Lepisosteus oculatus: one gene and its partner. The protein of the gene in region 1 interacts with the protein of each later gene in a pairwise test. Links are inferred from orthologs where the notes say so. Each region holds a gene or a part of one and is shown on either strand. Other genes may lie near its edges.

The links.
Region 2: the proteins of atf2 (region 1) and atf3 interact in binary tests that used the Homo sapiens proteins (3 or more experiments, as listed by UniProt). The link is inferred for Lepisosteus oculatus from reciprocal best matches to the Homo sapiens genes ATF2 and ATF3.

What each region holds. Positions count from the first base shown.
Region 1 is NC_090707.1:17,191,077-17,203,067, reverse strand, and holds the start of atf2 (cyclic AMP-dependent transcription factor ATF-2), read left to right. Parts: upstream 1-7,412; 5' UTR 7,413-7,514; intron 7,515-7,521; exon of another isoform or gene 7,522-7,582; intron 7,583-7,588; exon of another isoform or gene 7,589-7,797; intron 7,798-8,605; exon of another isoform or gene 8,606-8,667; 5' UTR 8,668-8,689; coding exon 8,690-8,737; intron 8,738-8,963; coding exon 8,964-9,060; intron 9,061-10,234; coding exon 10,235-10,353; intron 10,354-10,807; coding exon 10,808-10,936; intron 10,937-11,991. Other genes in the region: atp5mc3a (ATP synthase membrane subunit c locus 3a), read left to right, coding at 2,231-2,269, 3,182-3,259, 3,700-3,890, 4,337-4,451. UniProt on the Homo sapiens protein: Transcriptional activator which regulates the transcription of various genes, including those involved in anti-apoptosis, cell growth, and DNA damage response.
Region 2 is NC_090697.1:18,859,248-18,870,479, reverse strand, and holds the start of atf3 (cyclic AMP-dependent transcription factor ATF-3), read left to right. Parts: upstream 1-6,175; 5' UTR 6,176-6,342; intron 6,343-11,232.

The DNA of each region.
Region 1 (11,991 bases):
GTCAGGATTCTGGCTGCTGAAATTTGGACATACTCCAGTTTGTTCAAAGTAGATTTAGATACCCCTGCGAGTAGAGCATTACAGTAGTCAATTCTAGAGAACACAAATGTGTTGATCAGCTTTTCAGCCACAGTTTGTGATAGCATAGGGCACAGTCTAGCGATAGTTCTGAGGTGAAGAAAAGATGTTTTGACAATATGCTGCACATGTGGGTCGAATGTTAAGCCAGAATCGAATATCACCCTAAGGTTTTTCAATTTAGACTGAAGCTCTAGTACAGAACCATCTACAGATAGGGTTACAGGACTGGCTTTACGAAGTTGATGGGGGGTGCCAATAAGCATGACTTCAGTCTTGTCACAATTAAGATAAAGGAAATTTTGAGTCATCCAAGTTTTTATGTCAGAGATGCAATTAGATAGAATAGAAACCTTCTTTTCTGGTTCATGATTAATTTAATTAGTGCAAACATAGCATAGTGTGATACAGTATATCCATCAATTTTCTAACTGGTTCTTCTGATTCAGGCTTGTGGAATGCAATTCATAGAAGGTTTTGTTTAAAAATATTCTACCATTATGCTCTCTTTACAGAACACAGTGGGAGGCATGATGGTACAGTGGTTAACATTGCTGTCCCATAGCGCTGAGGCCCTGGTTCAGTTCCTGGGATGCTATATGTGTGGAGTTTGTATGTTCTTCCCAGGTTCGCATGGATTTCCTTCCACAGTATCAAAACACACTGGTAAGTTAAATGAACTTTGGAAAAATGGACCCTGGTGTGTGAGTTTGTGCCTGTACCGTATGTCCACAAATGTGATGGAGTGGGGTCCCATCCAGGGTATATCCTGCCTTGCCCTAATGACCCTGAACTGGAAGAAGGGGGTAGAAAATGGATAGGTAGACGTATAACACTATACGATGTTTGCACTAATTAAATTAATCTAGAACCAGAAATGACGGTTATTTGTCAATCCAAGTTGATTACGCAACTGTATAGGTGTCTTGTTTTAGTATGCATGCACTTTCTAGGTATTTTATGGTATCCCTCATCACTTGTATTTTATAAGATTCCCTCCTTTGTAGTTTTAATCAATGATCTTATTTAAATAGAACTTATTGTTCAATGGACTTAAAATGTAACATCTTTCATGTCAGTTTTTCACATTATATGTACAGTGCTGCATATGGGGGATCTTTAATGACCACTGAGTGTCAGGACCTCAGTTTAATGTCTCATCTGAAGACAGCACCCACTACAGTATAGTGTCCCCACCACTATACTAGGACATTAGGACCCACAAAGACTGCAGGGTGGGCGCCCCCCAATGGTAACACTAACACCTCTTCCAGCAGCAATGATTGCTTCACAGGAGGTCTCTCATCCAGGTACTAACCAGGCTCAACCCTACTTAGCTTCAGGGGGTAGCCAGTTGAGAGCTGAAGGGTGATATGGCTGTTGGCTAATTAGTAATGATATTAGAGCAAATTAAACTGCATTGAGAGGACAGGGAATGTGCCCAAAGGCCAAGTATATAGATTTCAGCTTTCAACAGTAGTGGAGTCTTTCTATTTCTGAATGTCACTGTTTTAATTTAAGGACTGTACAAGTATGTTATATATATATAGACACCTTAAATTTAAAAAGAAATGTTTAAACGTTGATTTATACAGAATCAATTAGTTCCGTGCAGTTTTCCATCCCCAAAGAAAATTGCACGTCTTCGATTAATTACTTTTGATTTTGGGTTTACCTCTGTAGTCATTGCGGACGTTTATTTTCACAAACGCAACGTACTGTAACCCTCGGCTGGTTCCAATCAAGTGCAACAGTAACTTGTCAGTTCTTCTGTTTTTCAATAAAGTTGCAGCGAAGTGACCTTGACAGCCGCCATCCGGGAGTTTGCAGGGAAAGAAGCAGACGCATGCGCAGTGGTTTCTAATCGGTTCGACCTCTGTAGCCGGTAAGTGAAGGGGAAGCAAGAAAAAGGCGAAGGAATAGAACATTTACAATCCCATCTCATCCTGTCCTGGGGATCTTTGTAATTAAGTAGTGGTTCTGGGTTTCATGAGTTTTCATTATCTGTGCATGCGTGATCTTCGTTTCGGTGTTGCTGTTGCAGACTTTAGGAGCAGAATTTCCATTGACCTTAACTCTCCCTTGTTCTTCACAGAGACAGACCCGGGTTTATGATCAATTCCGAACTCAGCAACCAATAAATCCAGACAGAATGTACGCTTGTGCTAAATTCGTTTCCACGCCTGCTCTGGTGAGTTTCTGTACCACATCTGATTTTCAAAAACCACATTTTCTGGTCTTTTATTCTTATTTCATTGCGGGCCTAGTCTTGAACTTGAGTTTTTCCTATTTTTTTTTCTAAACGTTTTCTGTTCACACAGGCCCCTTCAGTTTTTAGAATGAAATGGGGAAAAAAATAAATACAAACGACTTACTGTTCAATGGTTACAAAAGGGCAGTTATCAATATTAAAGTGAACTCATATCTAGATATAAAAGCTGAAAAAATCCGGCCTTTTTAGTCAAAGTCGTGCTATTTTTCTAATTGCACAGTATAATTCAAACCTCGGTAAGGGGTAAACCAAGTAAATAATGGTGCATTTGGAATTTTTAGTTTGAAAATGACAGCGATTTATTTTTTGAATGACTTAGGCTGTGCTCAGGGCTTGGGCCTTACTGCCTTGCTCTGCAGCTGAGATATGTCCTCTAACTCAGGACACAAGTAAAGGAGGCCGAAACGTAGCACAACAAGCATGATTAAAGTACTGGAATTACCTTTGGTACTGAAAAACTAAATATCTACCTGGAATTGAAATTGATTATTGTTCAAGATTTAAACGCCACAGACGTTTAATAATTTCAGAGAGCTCAATATATTGACGCTGTATCTCTTCCTTTCTTCTCAGTGAAGCTCAGAAATTATTTACAAATTGTTGTTCGTCTCCCATAATCCACGTTTTGGGTATGTGGTGGACTTTGCATGGGCACATTATTTTATGATCATGCTAATACTTGCCCTTAACTGTATGTTTTCTATAGGTGCATTTTGTTTTATCTTAAATAGCTACAGTGAAGTAAGATGATGTAAATGAAGTCAGTTTCCCTTAAGGTGTGGGCTGATGAGGTGTGTTCCCTGGTTGATGTGGGGTTTGTTTTGGGTGCAGGTCCGTGCTGGATCTCGGGCTCTGTGCAGACCTCTCTCTGCATCAGTGCTGTCCCGGCCAGAGGTCAGAACAGGAGAGGTGAGTCTAAAGAGTAGTGCTTCAGTCCTTGAAAATGTCATTTCAGATTGGTAGAATATTGGGATCAAATTCCATTTATTGGATTTTGTTTAGTGTGCAGACCTACATTCCTTAGTGGCCGATGTGCTTTAACATGAAAATTCCTCTGAACGTCTGTGCTGTGACCTTTAAAAGTGAGAACAGAGGTGACTCTTTACCCAAAGAGTTGTGGGAGGGTGGAACAAGTTACCCGGCTGATGCCGGTACTCTGGCTTCCTTCACAAAACAGCTGGAGGAGATCCTTGGATCAATGAGGAAATTACCAAACAGACATTATGGGCCCAGTGGCCTCCTGTTACATTCCTAAAGTACTTTCCCAAATGATTAAAATAAGCTGCATCCAGATAGAAGTGTTTTTCTTTCCCTTCTACTTTTTCTACAAAGAATTAAAACTTTTCCAGGGCAAGGCTGCAGCTGTGAGCGGGCCACAGAACTCTGTCTTGGCGCTCAGGGGGTTCCAGACCAGTGCCGTCAGCAGGGACATTGACACAGCTGCCAAGTTCATTGGTGCTGGTGCCGCCACAGTAGGAGTGGCTGGATCTGGTGCCGGAATCGGGACAGTGTTTGGCAGTCTTATCATCGGCTATGCCAGGTGAGAAACATCGTCATTTTGGAGCACAGGGCAGAGGTGCTCTTACAAGAGGTAGGCAGCGTCAGTGTAGCCTCAGATGGTCATACAGTTTGGATTCATCTGTAGATCTGTTAAGATTTTCATCAGGGACGCAAGTAGGTGTGTTCAGAATTGAGTGTTTCTGAGAGTTCACAGAACTGCTTTTTCTAGCTACAATTTTTTTTTGGAAAAAGTTTCATCCATTGCAAAACAATGATTTTTTTTGTGATTTCACACTTAAGATTTTTGTGTTAAACTCATTCCGAAGTCCTTCTTTATCCACTGGGGAATAAGAAAGGTAAGAAAGTGTTAATTAGGTAGGTCGGTTCACTGTAAATTCATGTTAAATTGGTACTGAACAACTGTAATCTGTAGCACTTGTTTTTACAGAAGACTAATTGCAGTCTTTCATTTCTTTGCCCCTGCAGGAATCCTTCCCTAAAGCAACAGTTGTTCTCCTATGCTATTCTGGGATTTGCCCTCTCTGAAGCCATGGGTCTGTTCTGTTTGATGGTTGCTTTCTTGATCTTGTTTGCCATGTAAAAAAAAACTGCTTCGGATGTTAATTCTACATTAGATGTAACTACGTGTTTTACAGTGGTTACTAAAACTGTTCTGTGTTGGTGTCATGAAAGTGTACATTTTTCAGGATTTTGTTGGAACACTGTCAAACTACAAAAATAAAAACATTGTAAGAATGTAACCAATGACAGAATTAAAATACACGTATTGGCTTTTTAAAGTCTCAAATCACAGTTCCGTTTTGTGTTCTGGGAATCAAGGTTTGTTTTAAAATCTCGTTATCAAAATATTTGTGCATTTCAGTACATTGAAAGCAAAAGATGTTTCTTATTGAACACTTAATACACTCAATTGAAGGATAAAGTTTAAAAGCACCCTTTGTATCATGTAGACTTTTTTTGCAATAGCATTAAGCAAGAAAAAGTGCTTTGTCACTTAGATGAATAAAAATATCAGTGCAAAATTTGGGATCAAAATGGCAGGTTTCATTTTATTGGAATTACAAATTTGGAGCCAGATGACGTGTTTCCAGCTCTGTTTGAGGTAATTAAACTACTTTGTCTTTACAAACGTGCAAAAAAGCAGATGCGTTTTACAATGGGAATCTCTGAATCCTTAAACTCTCTAAACTCTATGAATTAGCTACATTACTCTGCTCTCCTCCCCACTAATAGCTGATGTGTGGTGAGCGTTCTGGCGCACTATGGCTGCCATCGCATTGGTGGTGGTGGAGGGGAGTCCCCATTACCTGTAAAGCGCTTTGAGTGGGGTGTCCAGAATAAGCGCTATATAAGTGTAAGCAATTATTATTAAACACATTTTTAGTTTTTTTTCATATTACACACTTTGATTGTATTCATATTTCTCCCTTTTTTGAAGTGACATTTCCCATTTTTAACAGGTAATATTGGAAAAGGTCATGCAGAAACTGGTCCAAGGTTCATGATCTGCAGATGTCCCACTTTCCGTACAGATCACATCTATGAGTCTATATGAATTAAAGTGGTTTAACTGCAGTAGCATGATGATTAGGTCTCCCAGCTTCTTTACCTGGTTAAATAGTCATTGGATCAGTTAGAAATCAAATGGGTAAGAATTGTGAAAAATGGTCTCTTCTCATCTGTAACTAGAAGCAAGAATAGGCCTAGTTGTGTTGCACCTCAAAGTGTGGTCACTGCTTTAATTATTTGAAAAAGCATAATGCAGGGATTAAGGTTCTGAACTTGAACTATTAGGTTACTGGTTTAAATACCCAGTGGAAGCTGCTGTATCCTTGCGCAAAGCACTTTAGATTGCTCCGGTAAAATTCTAGCTGGATAAATGAGTATGAATGTAAGTTGGATGCTGCTTCTCAGTATAATCAGGATAGTGTTGAGCCGTCACAAATTCACAGCCGAAAATCTCAATACCATTACAAAGTGGATATGATTAAATTATACACTGCTTTTCGAAATTACTCAAAGCTTTTAGGAACATTTGTTCAGCATTAATGTGATGATATGGGAATACTTTTCATTAAGAACTTACATTATTATGTGTCGTACGTGTGCAATGAGGGGAAAAGCTTGACTGAAATATTACTGAACAAGTAATAGGTTTATTCCATGCTGAAAAAAAGAAGAAAGAGAACACAACGTTTCGGCCGTGGAGCCTTCTTCAGGTGTGAAGAAGGCTCCACGGCCGAAACGTTGTTCTCTTTCTTCTTTTTTTCAGCATGGAATAAACCTATTACTTGTTCCTTTGCAGCCTACGCATGCTGACGCAGCTACCCACCTGAAATACTAATGGCCTACAGTGAAGACTAAATTTTACATTAGAATTATAGACAGTATTGTGTATTCATTCAATGTTCTTGAAGCATATGATCTGCATAGCATCCTTCAGGTAGATACATGCTATTTTATGGAAAACATGCAATGTGAGGATTAAAATCGGAAAGCATCGTCTTTGAACACCGTTGCAGTATATTATATCAGAGTATTTTTATAGCAACATTGTCTTTGTTATAAGGCAGGTATGGGCAAATCCAATCTTTTGAGGAATTCCTGTAGAATTAAAAGGTGCTTTTCAGTTAGCAACACGTTAAGTCCTTATAAATTTTCTGTTCTTGGACAGATTTACACAAAGTAATTTAAACCAGAGGTGGAAGAAAAGTTAGATGATCCTATGGCTCTTCCCTCCTCTAGGGTATTTAAGACTAAAATGGATTTCATTGGTGAATATTGGAAGAGTGTCTGACATGGAGGAAACTCTGACATGTGCAGTCCAAGTTAAAGAAACTGGCACTCTTGACTGATGTCTTCCAGATTTTGAGTCGGTTAACCCCTGAAAAAAAGTGTTCTGTTCCTTTTTTAAAGTACAGGTTGCCAAGCACACACTGAAGAACAATGGGTGATGGTTTGTGTGCTGCTGGCTGGTTAGTCTCCTACCTGTACCTGAAAGAAGCTGGAAGCTTCGGATTTTGGATGGAACGTTTTTGACATCAGTACTAGAAGCTGAAAACACGTGGCACATGTTGGCCTCATTTGAGTAAAATGTTTTTTCTCCTGCAAAAAATAAAACTGGAGTATGTTTTCATCTCGTTAGCAAAGTATGCGTGTCTATATTAAATCATTGAGGACTCACCTGAAAGTAAAAGCCTTTATGTCACGTATTGTGTACACCAACATGTTTAAAATATGTAAATGTAAAAAGTAGTTTTGTCTCATTCATATTTAATACTAAATACATTCACAACGATGAATATCCAAAATGTTAACACTGGAAATGCATATTAAGAGACGAAGCAGTGTTCTTTCTATATGTAACTTCAGTTTTTCTTTTCCAATTCCGTGTAAAGAACGAGGTGAAAATTTAAAGTTTGTCTTATTTAACCGGCACAAAGAAGAATCAAAGCTAGTCAACCCTCTGCCCCACCCTCTCGAATCAAAATGCCCTTAAAGCACGCGTGTACGACCACTCAGCCCGTTCTGCGCACGCCACGTCACGTTCGTGACGCTTGCGGAAGTGTCCGCGCTGGAGCAGCGGTCGCGAGATCTGGCGGCAGCCCGTGGGATTTGGCCGTGAGAAAGGTTGAGCCCGTGGGTAAGTGTGTAAACAGGCCGTATAAACCGTGACAGCCGTGGTAAACAACGACTGCCACACCGGTTAAGGTAGCCTGCTGCTGGAAAGCAGTTTAGAGTAGCAGTCTCTACTTATTTTGTCAACGGGCGATGAATGCTTTTATACTGCAGTGACAGTAGTAATAATAATAATATGGCGACGGGGGTATACCCAACCCAAGACAAGAGACTGGGATGGTATAATGATGATGGACTGTAAACAAGAAACCGCATCTTGACAGTAATGTTCGCCAGGCACCCTAAATGTGATTTTAATTCATTAACATAGTGTGTATATGTGCATTTTTGCAGTCTTCGTAATGCAGCCTCCGCATTATTGTTTACACATCTAAGTCCTCTGTATAGAATATCTAGAACTTCTGCTGTTATGGTAGGGCACAGGTAGCATCTTTTACATGCAGGTATTGTAAAAAAAAAGAAGCTGTTTTACAACACAGCAATCCAGAGTTGTTCTTTTTGTTCCCTGTTCGCCGAAGAACATCACTGTCACTTTACTTAGAGAAGGTTAGCCCTGAGAAATACTACGATTAAGTTATTTAAGAGTACCTCACACGACACTAACACTGAATGGGAGTCGATTACTTGACAGAAAGGATATCAATACCTTGTGTTCGACCGGCGTTAATTTTTAATGCAACTGAAGAGGATGCTCGGCACGGTTAAATTTGAAAATAAACGAGAGACCAACCAAGCCAGCTGTATAACGCTTCCATGCATGTTTATGTTAGTTTTAAAACGAGTTTTATGCTTATTTGTCCAATGAGCTAGAGACCTTTTCTATGATGCACAAGGCTTGTTGGCGTGTCAGTCACTCCAGAATGCTGAGCTGTGTGTGTGAGTACTTCAGGAGGAAAGCAGAAAACACTTTCCTAGAATCGCCAACGATTTGTCACCTGAAGTATTTGTAATGTGTTCTGTGTTATCTCCCGGGCTTAAAGTTTACAGACGTTTTCAATACGTAGTCATATTTTCATTGTGGTTTTTTTTTCTTGCATGCTTGTGTTGAAATCGAGACTAAACGTTATTTAAGAAATGGTTTGTCGCCTTTTGCAGTGGTCCATGATGTGATTACGCGTGACAGTAGGTCTTGAAAGTGTGGTATCTTTCTCATCTAGGAGATAAAAGTATCTACTGAATATGAGTGATGACAAACCCTTTGTATGCACTGCTCCTGGATGCGGTCAGGTATGTATGGGTGGCAGTTCTGAAACTCTTTTTAAAAATAAAAGTTGGATATAATATTTTATTGGTTGCCTGTTTTACTTAACCTTAAGACAGTAACATTGCAAAACCAGGAATTAGAAATTACACAACCCGCCTAAATATTTCAGTTCATGAAATTGTTGGCTGAATCATTTAGAGATTCATTATCCTAAATACCTTTTTTAATGTAATGTTGTATTTTTTGTAGCGTTTTACTAATGAAGACCATTTGGCTGTCCACAAACACAAACATGAGATGACACTAAAGTTTGGTCCAGCGCGTAATGACAGTGTCATCGTTGCTGGTGAGTATCAAACTGCAGATCCCAGGAAGTGGGGAGTATTTACCAAGGGAAAGAGAATCTAAAGTGTAGGAAATTGACAAAAATGTCAATTCAGGTATGAAAAATGTTATCAATAGAATTTGCTTGTATTGACGTAACGGAAGAGATACATGTTGAACTTCATTGATCTATCAATAGAGGAACAATTAATAGAGTAATCATGCGTTGTCTTCCTTTTTGTGTTGCACATATACCTAAAACCAACATTTAAAAGCTGAAGGAGAAAAACTGCAAATTGCTGAGCTTTTATTAGATACCAGAAGATAAAGGGTGACTTTGACGTATTTACTGACTGCAGCAGAGTGAGACCGATGAAAGTTAGTTTTTTTTCACTGACAAATATAGTGGGGCTGTTTCTGTTTTGAGAGTTATGAAAAATGTGCTCTCAGCCTGTCTTCTGGCCACGTTGGAAATACTCATCAGCTGTTGATACGGTGTGATCAGTCAGTCATAGAAGTGGCTGTTTGGAGTATCTTGTCTGTCATGCCTTGCAGTTAGACTGCAATGGAATTTGTCTTGGCAATCGTGTAATCAAATCGTTCGTGTTCATTTCTTTCAGTGGAAAGGAAATCTTAAAACCCCAGCCTGACTCATAACAGTTCCAGACATTGTGGAGATATATGGTTGTTGTAAATTTATTCTAGAAAAGCCCATTATATAATTTTAAATATATCTAAATAGTAGGAAAAGTGCCATTGAAAACCTACAGTTGGCTATGCTGTAATGCATTTCATAGTGCATCATTTGGTCTTACCTATAAGTTATCACCATCTTTTGCTATTTTATATTTTCAATATGGGAGAACATAGGCAGCAAAGCCATAACTTTTAAGTTGTGATTTGTGTGTGTATTTGTGCTATTCAACATAAAATAATATATTACCTGACACCTGAAGAAGGCTCCACAGCCGAAACGTTGTGTTCTCTTTCTTCTTTTTTTCAGCATGGAATAAACCCATTACTTGTTCCTTTGCAGGCTACGCATGCTGACGCAGCTACCCACCTAAAATAATATAGATTTGCATTTTGTTATTGTTCCTCAACTGATAAAAAGAGCTCACATTGTAAATCTTTCTCATTAATAGGTAGCTGTTGTTGAATCAACTGAAAGACACTTTTGTTATATATTGTTTCAGACCAAACTCCAACACCAACCCGTTTTTTGAAGAATTGTGAAGAAGTGGGACTATTTAATGAATTGGCCAGTCCCTTTGAAAATGACTTCAAAAAAGCAACAGAAGAAGACATCAAAAAGGTAACGTTTATTAAGATGCTAAGAATGGTTACAATCGAGAGGAAGTCATTTGGCACCTCTAGTCCATTTGGTATTTAGTAGCTAATTGATTGAATGATCAAATCCAGTCGTTTCTTGAAAGAAGCCAGGGTATCGGCTTCAACAACATGTCTGGTCGGCTTGTTCCATACTCCCACAACACTTGGGGTAAAGAGGTGCCTCCTGTTCTCTGTTTAGAATGCAGGTCCATTTAGTTTCCACGTGCACAAACAAACATAAAATGTAATTTATTTTTTACATTATTTTGAAGGACTAGTGCAAAATTAGTTGCCATACTGTTCTTAAACAATACTGTTATTAATAGAAATTTGCCACCTAGGAATTGTTGAGACTGTTGCCACTAAAGTTTTTTTTTTGGTTTCTCGTTTACTTTTTAAGATTGTTTTTGTCGGTTCACGATGCCTCCATATTTCAGCTACCCTTAGATTTGTCTCCACTCGCAACTCCCATTGTAAGAAATAAAACTGAAGAGCCATCAGCTGTGGAAACCACTCACCAAGACAGTCCTTTGCCTCACCCAGAATCTACTACAAGTGACGACAAGGTAAATTCTACAGAAAATCCATTGTAGATTGGAGTAGTTCCAAATCTTTCTATTACATGTGCTGAGATGGAACCAAAGAAAGGCTCAGATTATTCTGTTTTTTGGGAACAATCAATGCATTTTTTCTGTGTTGAACTTTTTTCAGTAGTGTAATTAATATTAATTGACAATTGCCTTGTTGTGCTGGCACAGATGTAAGTGATGTATTGCTGTAGAAATTAGGCACACATAAAAAGAGGAAGGTATTAGAGGCTCTTTGCTTTAGTGTTTTTTTTTTTAATCTCTACCCTTTTATATCCAGAGATAAAACAAATTTAAGTGTTTTGATGTACCTTGTACGTTGTTCTGGCAAAGTTTTCTTTCTTTTGTGAACCATAACCTTTCTCATATTGAAAGGAGCACAATCGTGTTCTGTACGGAACAAGTCTGCTGCCAGCAATGTTTGCATTGATGTTTATGGTTTATTTTACTGTCGGCATGTTAAAATATATTCCACATCACATCACAAATAAATCTGTATCTCCAAGGAAAACCGGCATAAATTCCCCTCCAGCCCCATCATCCATAAGAATATGTGCACAGAATTTCAACAGGGCTGATTTTGCTGATGGAAACAGCTATAAACTGCAATGTTACTGCTTTTCTGGAGACTCGTTATAAGTTTGCAGTAATTCTGGTAGTGGTTTTGCTATTTGCCCTCTGTTTCTGTTCGCTTCAGTTTGACAGACGTACTTACCAATAACTGCATCTGTGCCATTTGCCTTCATAAAGTGAGAGTGCCGTACTAACATTTTGTTGTACCGGTACTAAAGACTAAGTGAACAGAAAAAAGAGCTGTAAAATAGTCTTAATTATGTAACATTTGAAAAATAAAATTGAAGCAAACTGGGGAGGCATGTGGGGTGTGTAAATTTAAGAAATTATAGGTAGTTCTTGATTTGTGGGGCAGATACATTCTTGAAACATGATGTGTAATGAAAAAAATGTTATTTTTATAGGGAAAGTTGTTTTGAATGTACGTGTAAATAAGGAGGGGTTGCATTCCGGGGTCCACT
Region 2 (11,232 bases), on another chromosome or scaffold:
CAATGATGGTAAAGATCATGGATATCACGTGCCGAGCTGTTGACCTTTCTTTGTGAGTAATGGTTAATAGTTTGCCACCCTTCCTGGTTACAATGCCAGTCCTCTGTGGTTTCTTCATGAGTCACACTAATAAGCTAAAATGCATCTCACTTTAATGTGAAAGCTGTTCAAAACAACTTTCATATTAATGATTCATATAAAATATACTGGTAGGGTTAAAATGTGATGTATATGGATTAGTAGTTAGGGCTCTGCCCCTAAAATGCGTTGGTTGTGGGTTCAAATCCTGGGTGGAGTGTCCTAAAGCAAAATACTGCAGTTGAATTTTGCTTATTAAAACTTCTAGCTATATAAAAATGGGAACAATCCCAAATAGCTTTGTAAGAACATTAAATAGATCAATATTTATAATTAATTAATAAAGCAACAGGATCAAGGCAAGATTTACCCTGGACACTCCATTGCAGGGCAGACACACAAACAGAACCACTGACACTCACACCAGGGCCACGTTTCCCAGAAGCCAAGTGATCTACCAGTATGTCTTTGTGTCTTTGGACTATGGGAGGAAACCAGAGCACCTGGCAAAAACCCATGTAAATACAATCATAAAATCTCCATGCAGATAGCACCCAGGCCTGAAATTGAACCCAGAGCCCCAACACTGCAAGGCAGCAAACCTAATGACTATTACGCCATTTTAAGTAACACCTTTTTAAGTAACATGCAGCCTGATACTTTTACTGGTAGTCCGGATGATTTAAGGTAATATATAAACCATGCTATTACTGTATGTACTTGCTGTGTCTTTGCCTGAGGCCATAGAGAAGTTGCTTACCTTTTTGGGGTAGGGAAATGTGAACTATTAAACCTTCATTAAAGACAAAACAGAAAGTCTCCTTACTGAGAGAGAAATTCTCCCTTTTTATATATCAAAACAGTATGATATATAAAAACAGTATCAAAAACAGATACTTGCTAAGTAATACATTAAGTATTCAGTACTGTGAAGAACTACTGGCATACTCTATAAATATCTACCTTTTCTATGCAGTAATAATAGCCTAAAAAATGACCTGAACAAAAGATGGTTATCTGAGTAGTTTAGTGAGTTATGCTAAATTTATTAAGGACTGTAAAATAAGAATACGCTGTGGCTTGTCTTTCCAAAATACAGTACATGGGAGCAGGCACACCCCTGGGAGGCTGAGAAACAGTGCTGTGTTACTGCTCACTGTAGCACTGGCACAACCAGTGATGTAGAAGCCTGGACCGCTGATGAGGCACTTACATGCAGTCAGGCTTCTCATTTATTATTAAAGTGAAGCGGGAAGCCTTCAGTCAGACCATGGAATAGGGAGGTGATGTCACTTTACCTTTGGTTTCCTATTGGACTACGACTCATCATGCATCAATGGTATCATCATAGCCCGTATTCCATATCCATTTTATATCACCAATTGGAAACAGCATGTTAACAAAAAAAAAACACATGACTCGCTTCATTACTGTAATGTAATTCTGCAATAAGTAGAGTATAGCTCAGAACTATGAATATTCAGTACTTTTATTGGTAAGAGACTGACAAACCTGGGCCAATAAGCTACAGTATGAAGTACTAGGCAATTATGGCAGACCAGATAGCCTCCTCCCTATCGTTACTCTTTATATTAACAGTAAAGCATAATGTGTTAATTGCTGTCAGTGCTGGGAAATTACATTTTAAAACATTTAGGAAATGGTAGAGCAATATCTTTCTTTTCTGTGTCTCATAAAACAAAATTTGCTGGCTTATTTCTTCTCCATCTTCTATTATGATGACCAAATATTTCACAGGACTAAATGATATCACGGTAGCCTCTATATAATAATTTAGTTTTAATAGTTGTGCTGATTTAATGTTTAATTTAATTTTCATTTAAAAGAGTTGAATCATCTTCAATTAAAGCTCAGTTTTGATACGGTTAATCATTAAGAGGCTTCCACAGAATATTACTCATCTGTGAAGAGTGGGCTTTAACACAATTAACATTGCAACTAAAGTTGCAATTTATTTATAGCTAATAAAATATAAATTTGTTATTATAACTAATTTAAAGTTAGTTCCTGAACATTAGTGTTATACAGTCCATTCATTAGCTTCTTTCTGTCCTAGGTGCGTTGTTGTTTTCATTCATTTGGCTAAAGTGATTCCCAGAGGTTACAATTAACCAAGTTTTACAAGCATACTGTGGTGACAATTTACAGCTGAGTTTTCTGTAGCAATTTTGGTAAGGCACCTTACTGTTAGTGCCAGCAGGTACAGTATATCACCCTGCAGCTCTCAACTGGCTACCCACTGAAGCTAAGCAGGGTTGAGCCTGGCCAGTATCTGAATAAGAGACCTCCTGGGAAGCAATGGTTGCCACTGGAAGTGGTGTCAGTGGGGCCAGCAGGGGGTGTCTGTGTGGGTCCTAATGCCCCGGTATAGTGGCGGGAACACTATGCTGTAGTGGGTGCTGTCTTTTGGATGAGACATTAAACAAAGGAGGCCCTGACTCTCATTGGTCATTAAAGATCCCTGGGCATTTCTGGATAAGAGTAGGGAGTTATCCTGGTGTCCAGGACAAATTTTCCCCCTTGGCCTTTACTGTGGCCTTCAAATTGTCCCCATGTATGGCTTGCACCTGCCCTGTGATGGGCTGGCGCCCTGACAAGGGTGTACCCTGACTTGCGCTCGCTGCTTTCTGCAACACTGTAAGGTATAAACCGGTTTGGCAAATGACGTGACATGACCTTACTATCATAAATCAATAGTTATCCCAACCAAGAATTTAAAGGAGGTAATTCTGCCCATACAGCCGTGCCATCAGGGGCCCAGAGTCCTTACCATTAATCCACACTTCTAACCCCGGTCATGGTCTTGGCCTTCACTTCCTCTTTCATCATAATAATGGCTTGGGTACACCTTTCAAGGGAAAACAGCATTGAGATGACTATGACACACACCCTGCACAGATGTTTTCTGTTTCACTATAAATACTTACAGGAAACGAGGTTCTCAGTTTGAAAGTGTAAGTAAGAAAGTGGTGTTGTTTCTGTTTAAGTCCATAAGAAAACTGTGGGTGGCTGCTGGGGTCAAACTTAGAAAAAACACCGGTGCATAGAAAGTCAAGTGGTTCTGTCTGTCTAGAAGATGCTGGAAGCAATGGTAAAAGAGCTGCTGAGTCATTTAGCCTTGCTTACTCAACTTATGAAATGTTGAGAGCAACGTCACTTTCACTTCTGATTAAGGACAAAGGTCAGCTCATGAACCTTGGTCCAGACTCAGGACTGACACAATGGCATTTAATCTAATAGCCAAGCAGACTTTCAAAATCTGACAGGTGAAAATATTCTTCACTGTTTGAGCTGTTGCCATATTGCAGGTCCCTCTATAAAACTAAAACAATGGTGCTTTGAAAAACAACCCAATTATAAGCTACACAACTGCCAAGAAACATTTACAAATATTGCATTTACCAAATCACATATTTTGCACAATCTTTCTTACATATTACTTCCAGAAATTCATTATATTTCAAATAACAACAGGTGAATTTGGCCTGTACTTGTTTAATATAACTTATAGTAAGTGGTTATGGTTTCAAAATATAACTAAAAACTTAACTGAAACACTGGTAAGAATAAGGTTTAGTCGACCCTATGCAGCTTTCTCATGAGGATATGAAAATACAAAACTTTTTTCTTTACAAAAGATATGTGTTTTATTGTGGCCAAAAATAAGCCTGGAACAGGAATATTAGTTTCACATGATGCATAAAGAAAAAAAACATTTGACTACTGTTTCACATAATTTGATGAGGCATAAGGGGATGTTAAACTAGTCTGAACCCAAAACAGACAAATAAGACAAAAACAATACCAGACATATATTCCTTGAAAAGAAGAAAAGGATTGGAGCTTTTTGAGTGTTTGGAAAGCTGGGATGTGCATTCCCCAGCAGTCTGAACATCTGAAATGAAAGATGATTTGGCAAGAAGGCAGTGGGAGAGTGTTGCTATGGCCATAGCCTGGTAAACAAATATACACCAACTTACTCGCTTTCAAAGCTGAGAACAGAAGACACAGAACCGATTTAACTTCGTTTTAAAATAGCCATGACTTCTACTCTTCTGCAATGCTTGAATGTAATAAGGAAACTACAACCATTATTTAAAGGAAGCAGAGTCATTCTACATGTAATGATACAATCTGGTCACCAAGGTTAAAATTATGCTGAGTCACAGAAGTTATTTTTGTATTAAAAATGAGTTTGCCTGTTTCTTTTAATAGAGTATGCCCCCAGCTGTGTGGAATTTTTGGGACACTTCTATCACAGTTCACATAAAGGAAGGTGTCTTGCTCCTTTGTCTACGAAAGTAGAGTGAACTGAATCTCGAGGAAGTGACGTCACAGCACTAGTATCATTTGACAAATTATTTCCACAACCATCATACCTGCTGTAAGACAACAGGAGGGTGACGACATGACAAGTGCTGAAGTTTCAAGAAATGTCTGATTTTGCTTTGTCATAATTAGAAAACCATTTTCTCTTTTAATCTTTTAAAGAAGAAAGAACTGTTATTTCAGTTGTAAGAGAAACCTAAACTACAAGTTGAAATTCAAAACAATTATTGTTATTTATTTATCTATTGTATAACAGAGTTCTGTAAATATGCTTTAAAAACAAGCCGATTTCAGGATCATAGGAAAAACTGTGATGGTAAAGATTTTGTGCCACAGCTATGATGACCATAGCCCATGTTAAAGACCATGACTAAAACCATAATATATTTACAGGCAGTCCTGGTATCAATTAATATAGATACAGAAATAACACAATATCTTCTATTGAGTCCTTTTCAAAAGTTGCATTTTAAAGTTATAAGGAACATGTTATTTTTTTAGTATCAGTGGAAATAGTTATACATTTTGTAAAATACCAGCTCAACAGATCGTGTGTGATTTTGATATAATTCAATATACACTCACCTGGCATTACATTTTTCTCAATAATACAGTTCTAGAATTATACTATTGCTTAATATTAATATATATTTTTTGTTGCTTACCTAAGCTAATATACAGAAAAAATTGCTTTTAAAAAAACATAGTTTTTACATGTTAATTTAACAATTAATGCTTTAAGCAAAATGAGTATAAGAATTTGCTGTGAAAGTCTTTTTTAAACTGTACTATATGTCTCTATTCAAGGGAATCCACACATTCCTGTTAAATCCTAGTTCATGATCGAACTGAAAATGTTTTACAAAATTTAGCCCTGATTCCCATTCAACACCCAGTTTCTACTAAGTCACACTAAGCATGTGTCAATTGACAATTTACGTGGTATGGGGAACGGTTTTGTAGTTCCTCATTTTCACGGCAGTAATTGAGAGCTTTGGTCTGGAGTACAACCCCAATTTACGAGATCGAAAACCAATATTTTACAGTTCCTGAAGGCTCTAGACTCTTACTTTGATTTACAGTTTAGCTTTATTTTAAAGTTTACATATTGCCAAAATACTGTTAAGAAATTAGAACCCACTATTAAAAGAACTGGGAGACTGGTATAAAAAAAGAAACTGATTTCTGATTTAACGACCCAGCTTGTTTTCCATCACAGGAATTTATGTGATGGAAAAAAAAAGCCCCGTCCCTTTGTAAATACTAGGGACCGGTGTACACTCATAATGTAAACGAGAAATCCTGTTTACGCTTTTAAGGAGTAAGGGCCACACACCCATTTAAAAAATGACGATGGTCTGATTCACACTCATCATGTAAGAGATTCACAATTAAATTAAATTTAACTCGGGTTCTGCGTATGTTAAAACTACCCTCAGTACAACAGCCTCAACAATTTTATATGGGCAAATGTTTGCAAAAACAACAGAATGCATATACAGTTCTTGAGCTGCGCAGACAAAGCTAGCTCTGCTGGTCTTGATCGCAGGAAAATCTGAAAATGCAGTTATGCGTTACATTTCGAAAAAGTTTCTGTCTAGTCAATAAACAAATCATATTTTTTTTTCCAACAAAGGCTACTCATCGCTGGAAATAAAAAGTATTACACCTTTCGGGTAAAGTAATTACAGCAGCCAATACTGTTTCATGTTAAAATGTATATCCTGGCTTTAAATGTCGCTCCCTGTTGTCACTGTCCAAAAGCTCAGTGAATATATTCAAAACAAGTAAAACGAGTGTTTAACATTTACAGCTCAGCTGGCTCCCTTTCTGTCTTCCTCCAAGATGACGTCACTCTGCGAGAATAGGCGCTCGGTGAGCCCAGGCCGCTAATGTTTATATCAGTTTCGCCGGGTGAGTAATCTTCGGTTTTACGGGAACACGATGTGTCACCCAGACAGAAAGCGCAAATGATCATCATTGATTTTGACTTTTCTGCAGTACCCGTTCCCTATGTAATCTATTGGTAGAGGAGGGGTTTCGCTGTAGTTGTCATTTTCTCATTTCTCAGCTGATTGAAGCACTGCTCAAAAACAGAAGAAAAAAAAATGACTCCTTCACTTCCCGGAAAAGGGGACCATCTCCCTCTTCAGTTGCTGGTACATCAGGAGATGGTTTTCTCTCTTAAAGTTGTAATACAGATTTACCGTAAATTGCATCGACAAAACAAATTATCCAATGTGACTGGGTGTATGTACATTACGATCAATAAAGGGGACTGAAAAAAGAGGCATATCTCCAAAAGGACAGTAACATTGTGGGAGACATTTCCATAATTAAACGACTTTTTTATAAACGAAGTGACGTTTTAAGTAAATTAAAAAAATTCTCATTAGGACAAAAGGGAATACAAACATGTGTCTTATGTTTGTTTCTCAAATTATCTGTTTAAATGCAGAACGTTACTTTAGATTTTTAATGTAAATTGCTCAATATAGAATTTACTTTGGAAATATATATATATTGCAACGTTTAAAGTTTCTTATTTTTGAAATGGAGTACAAATGGAACAAAAAAAAGTACAAATGGAACATTTCAGTAGCGAAATGAATAAATAATTTGTAGCATCATATTCCTTCTTAAAAGTAATATGAAATATGAAAATTAATATGGAATAACTACCCAGTTAGCAACGTGACAAACTTGATATGCTCATTTTGGCGTCATTGGGCTAATGTTATAGAAATCATGTAATGACCACATGTAAATTTTAACCAAGTCATTTATCCATGGCTAGTGGCTTACTCCCTTACCATGTTCCTTTGTATCTTTCCAATTAGATAACGAAATAATACTGGGCGCAGTAATTTCAGTGTTACCTATCTTGCCTTTGACACATGTTTTGTTTTATCCAGTTCCAGTTCAGTTTACTGTCATATGCAGAAGTGCAATGAAATGCGTATTTGCATGTATGCTCCGATACAAAGACATTAAAGGAATCACCAAAAAAGTACTGTAGACACAGAACAGCAGCAGCAACAACAAGTTAAATAACATACATCTTGAAAAAAAAACATCAGTGTGAGCCAGTGGTAGGGGTAGAGTTCAGTAATCTGAGTTTGTGGGAAGAAACTGTCTCTGAATCTGGACGTTTGTGTCTGGTTGACAGGTATAACATGATACCTGATAACATTCTGATAACATTTTCACATTCTCACTGCACTCCAGTGTGCATATGTAAAATTTCACTTGCTTACAAATGAGTCAAAGGTCAAATTGCTTTTAGGCAACCAGTTAAATTAAAACTCATCTGAAGTGAATACTGAAGGGTTTGTGGAAGGAGGTTACCAAGCCTTTTCTTGGACAGATGACATCATACATTTCTCCCACGCGACTGTAAAGCGCATTTGGTAAACATACATATAAAAATAGCGCCATATAAATGATGTGTAATAACATCAATAGAATTTCCATTAGGTTTCACAACATCAGGTACAGTATATTAATTTGTAACTATAGCTTTAGTTTGACATTGATGTTGGAATCAGTCCATACATTCAGCTCAGGAATCTCGGTTTAGCTTTAAAATCAGCTTTGCATTTGGAACTCCTGTTTGCAATGTTGAAACGTGTGAATGTATGAAAGGTAACTTTGTAATTTTTGTAATTTACTCATGTCTTTCTCACTCTGATGCAAACAAGCCAATACGTGTACAGGTAGGTATTTCTTGATTTCGGGCTTGATGACTGTAACACAGTGCTTGCTGGTTATTTATGTATTAAGTTGCCTCAGAGCTCAAGTGCTAACGTAACCAAAACTAAAATATAGAAGTTAAAAAATTCTCCTATTTTACCTTGTCTGCTCTTGCATTTCAGAATGAAATGCATTTCAGAAGAAAACTTAAAATATCAGTGCCCTCCTTTAAAGGCCTGAATAGACTCCTGTTTACATCAGTGAACTGTTATCTCCCAGTACACCTACACATCATTTGCATTGTTTGGACTCTGGCCTTCTTTCAGTTCCCAGAATCAGGCTTCAAACTTTGGTTTGCTTTGCTTTCTCTTCTGCTGCTTCAAGGCTATGGAATGATCTCACAGCCCATATTAGGTCATTTTGGTTGTTTTATACTAAAGAGCTCTGATAAGATGTGTCATGAAAGGTGCATTACAAAACAAATCTGATTAATTTCCAAAATGGAAAGAGATGTACAGTAACAAGTGTAACACGTTTTGTACTGTCTTCCACACTTTTTATAAAGAACAAAGTCAGCTTTGCTCTCAAACTTGCAATTTCAACTGATGAACCCCTCAAACAATTACAGCCCAGGGGAATAAAATAGCACTTTATAAAGGAAAGTTTACAGACAATGACAGTAATGCAGAAAAGATCAAAACAATATGACAAATATTATTTAAACCACATAATAGCTGATGAGTTGAAATTATTTAGATTTGTAATGTATGGGAGATCAAAAGTCTTTTTTTTTCTTTTGAGAGATAAAGAAACACCTTCAATTTTATTAGAAATCTCAGTCCACTACAAAATACCTTTTCAATGCATTTGTGGGGTATTTCTGGTGCATTTGAATATAAGAATGGTGGCAAATAAGAGGAGGATATTCAACCCACCCCAAACCCAGGGTATCGACTTCAACAACACAGCTGGGTAGTTTATTCCATATCCTCTCAACCCCTTGGTTAAGGAGTGCCCTCTTTTCTCAAACCTAAATGCCACTTGTGTCTTGTGTCTTATGGTTCATGTGTTATTGATGAATCTGAGGAAGTCCTCCATGTTGTATTCGTCAGTGCCTTTGAGGGTTTTGAATATCTGGATCTGGTACCCTCAAAGTTTCCTCACCCAGTCTAGTGTGTCATTAAACAAACAAGGCATGAGAGGTTAAATCAATTCTAATATGTTACATTTTGCAATTGATCTATCCTATTTAATCAATCAATGGATTATGTCAAACCTTTAAAACGCTACATGATAGACTGCTGGATGGGACACTTAATGCAAAGCAGGGACCCAGAAAGATTCCATCAAGCTGTGAATTAAAATGTTTCTGTGGGCAGCTTTGGGTTGAAATTCTGTCAGAGGTTATCTTGCATTTCTGAGGTATGAACTAACTGATGTTTAAAGCTTGCACAACATTGGGTAATAATTACCATGAGTTACTTCAAGGGACACTGTGGAATTAAGAAAGAAAATTGAAACACAGTCATAGCTGCTGTAAATCTGAAACTTATTCTGTTTCTTTTAAATGACAACTCGCAGATAGAGCAAAGGGACTGTATGTGAGGAATGAAAGTCAAAGAACTGTCTTTGATGAGGTTAATGTAGTTAACTTTAAAAAAAGACACACTGCTACCACTGGAGGCTGATACTCCACAATCCCTTCCTAGTTCCTTAAAATGCATAAAAACTGACATGACAGAAACTCAACAGAAACATGCGTTTTACTATGCAACTCTCACTATTGCTTTAACTGTGAATTGCAAATATTAAAATTCTCTCTCAGGCAGCTGGGTCTTTTTTAATATCCTAATAAACAACAAAAAGTATATATAAAAATACAAGTATTGTATAATCTTAAACTTGTTTGAGAAAAATTATATCTTAGAATAATTTCTGAAAATCATAGATACATGTGAAAACAGTAAGAACTATAATATATTTTGCTGTACTTTAGTTGCATCTAGGTTTCAAGGATATTATTATTAAACAGACTGCAGGTTAAGTTCCTGTCTATCTGATATAGATACAAACTAACAATTAAATGTTTTTTAAACATTCTAACTGACAAATGCCAGATTTCTCTGGTACATGGTATACTGACTGTTTTAAGTTGTCTGGAGAGTAGCATTACATTTTTGCCTAACTAAATTGGCTGTATAATGTATATATTCCTTATTGTTCACTTGCCGCACTTCACTTACTGGATTTAAGTAATACCTTCTACTACTACTCATATTAATAAGAAATAAACAAAGAAAGAAAAAATTAGTGTAAACGCAATAATCTGTTCTGAACATAGGTAAACGTCTTATTTCGAATTACATCAGAAACTATCTTTGAAAACAATGTCAATAATATAATCATATAATTATTTTTAAAAAGTTTTACAGGTTCTTCTGAATTTCTTTCAACTTTAAAGCTCTTTTATCTTAGTTTATGTGACTTTTATGTATTACCGTATATTACTTCATTTAAATTTTTTTGTCATCAGTTGCCCTTGTACTTTCGCTATGATAAGATAACTTTATTGGCCATATACAATGTCTTGCATTAGGAATTTGTCTTTTCACATACCCCAGCTTGCTCTCCACAAAACACACACATAGGGGGAGAGAAGCTTGGGGTCAAAGCACAGGGTCAGTCATTTATATGGCAGCCCTGGAGCATCTGGGGTTAAGGGCCTTGCTCAGGGGCCCAGTGGAGTAGGATTCCCCTGCTGGCCATGGGATTTGAACCAGCAACCTTCCAGCCAAAGGTGCAGATCCTTAGCTTTACTGAGAGGTAACAATAAAGATAACTTATGTTCTATTGTAAAGAACATAACCATTTAAAAGCATTTTGCAAGATTAAAACAGTTTGTTTTACACCCCTCATCAGGCTTTTTTGATTGGGAGGAACAGAAAGAAAATGTTAACCAGGGGTGCAGTATTTTATGTGCACACAATTTTATCATATAATATGTCCAGATTGTGGTTATTAGTAATTATTTTAATAATAACAACTCATTACTATAAGAAAGTACATTTACATGTGGTCCACTGAACAACATGATCTCAGATAACTGAAATC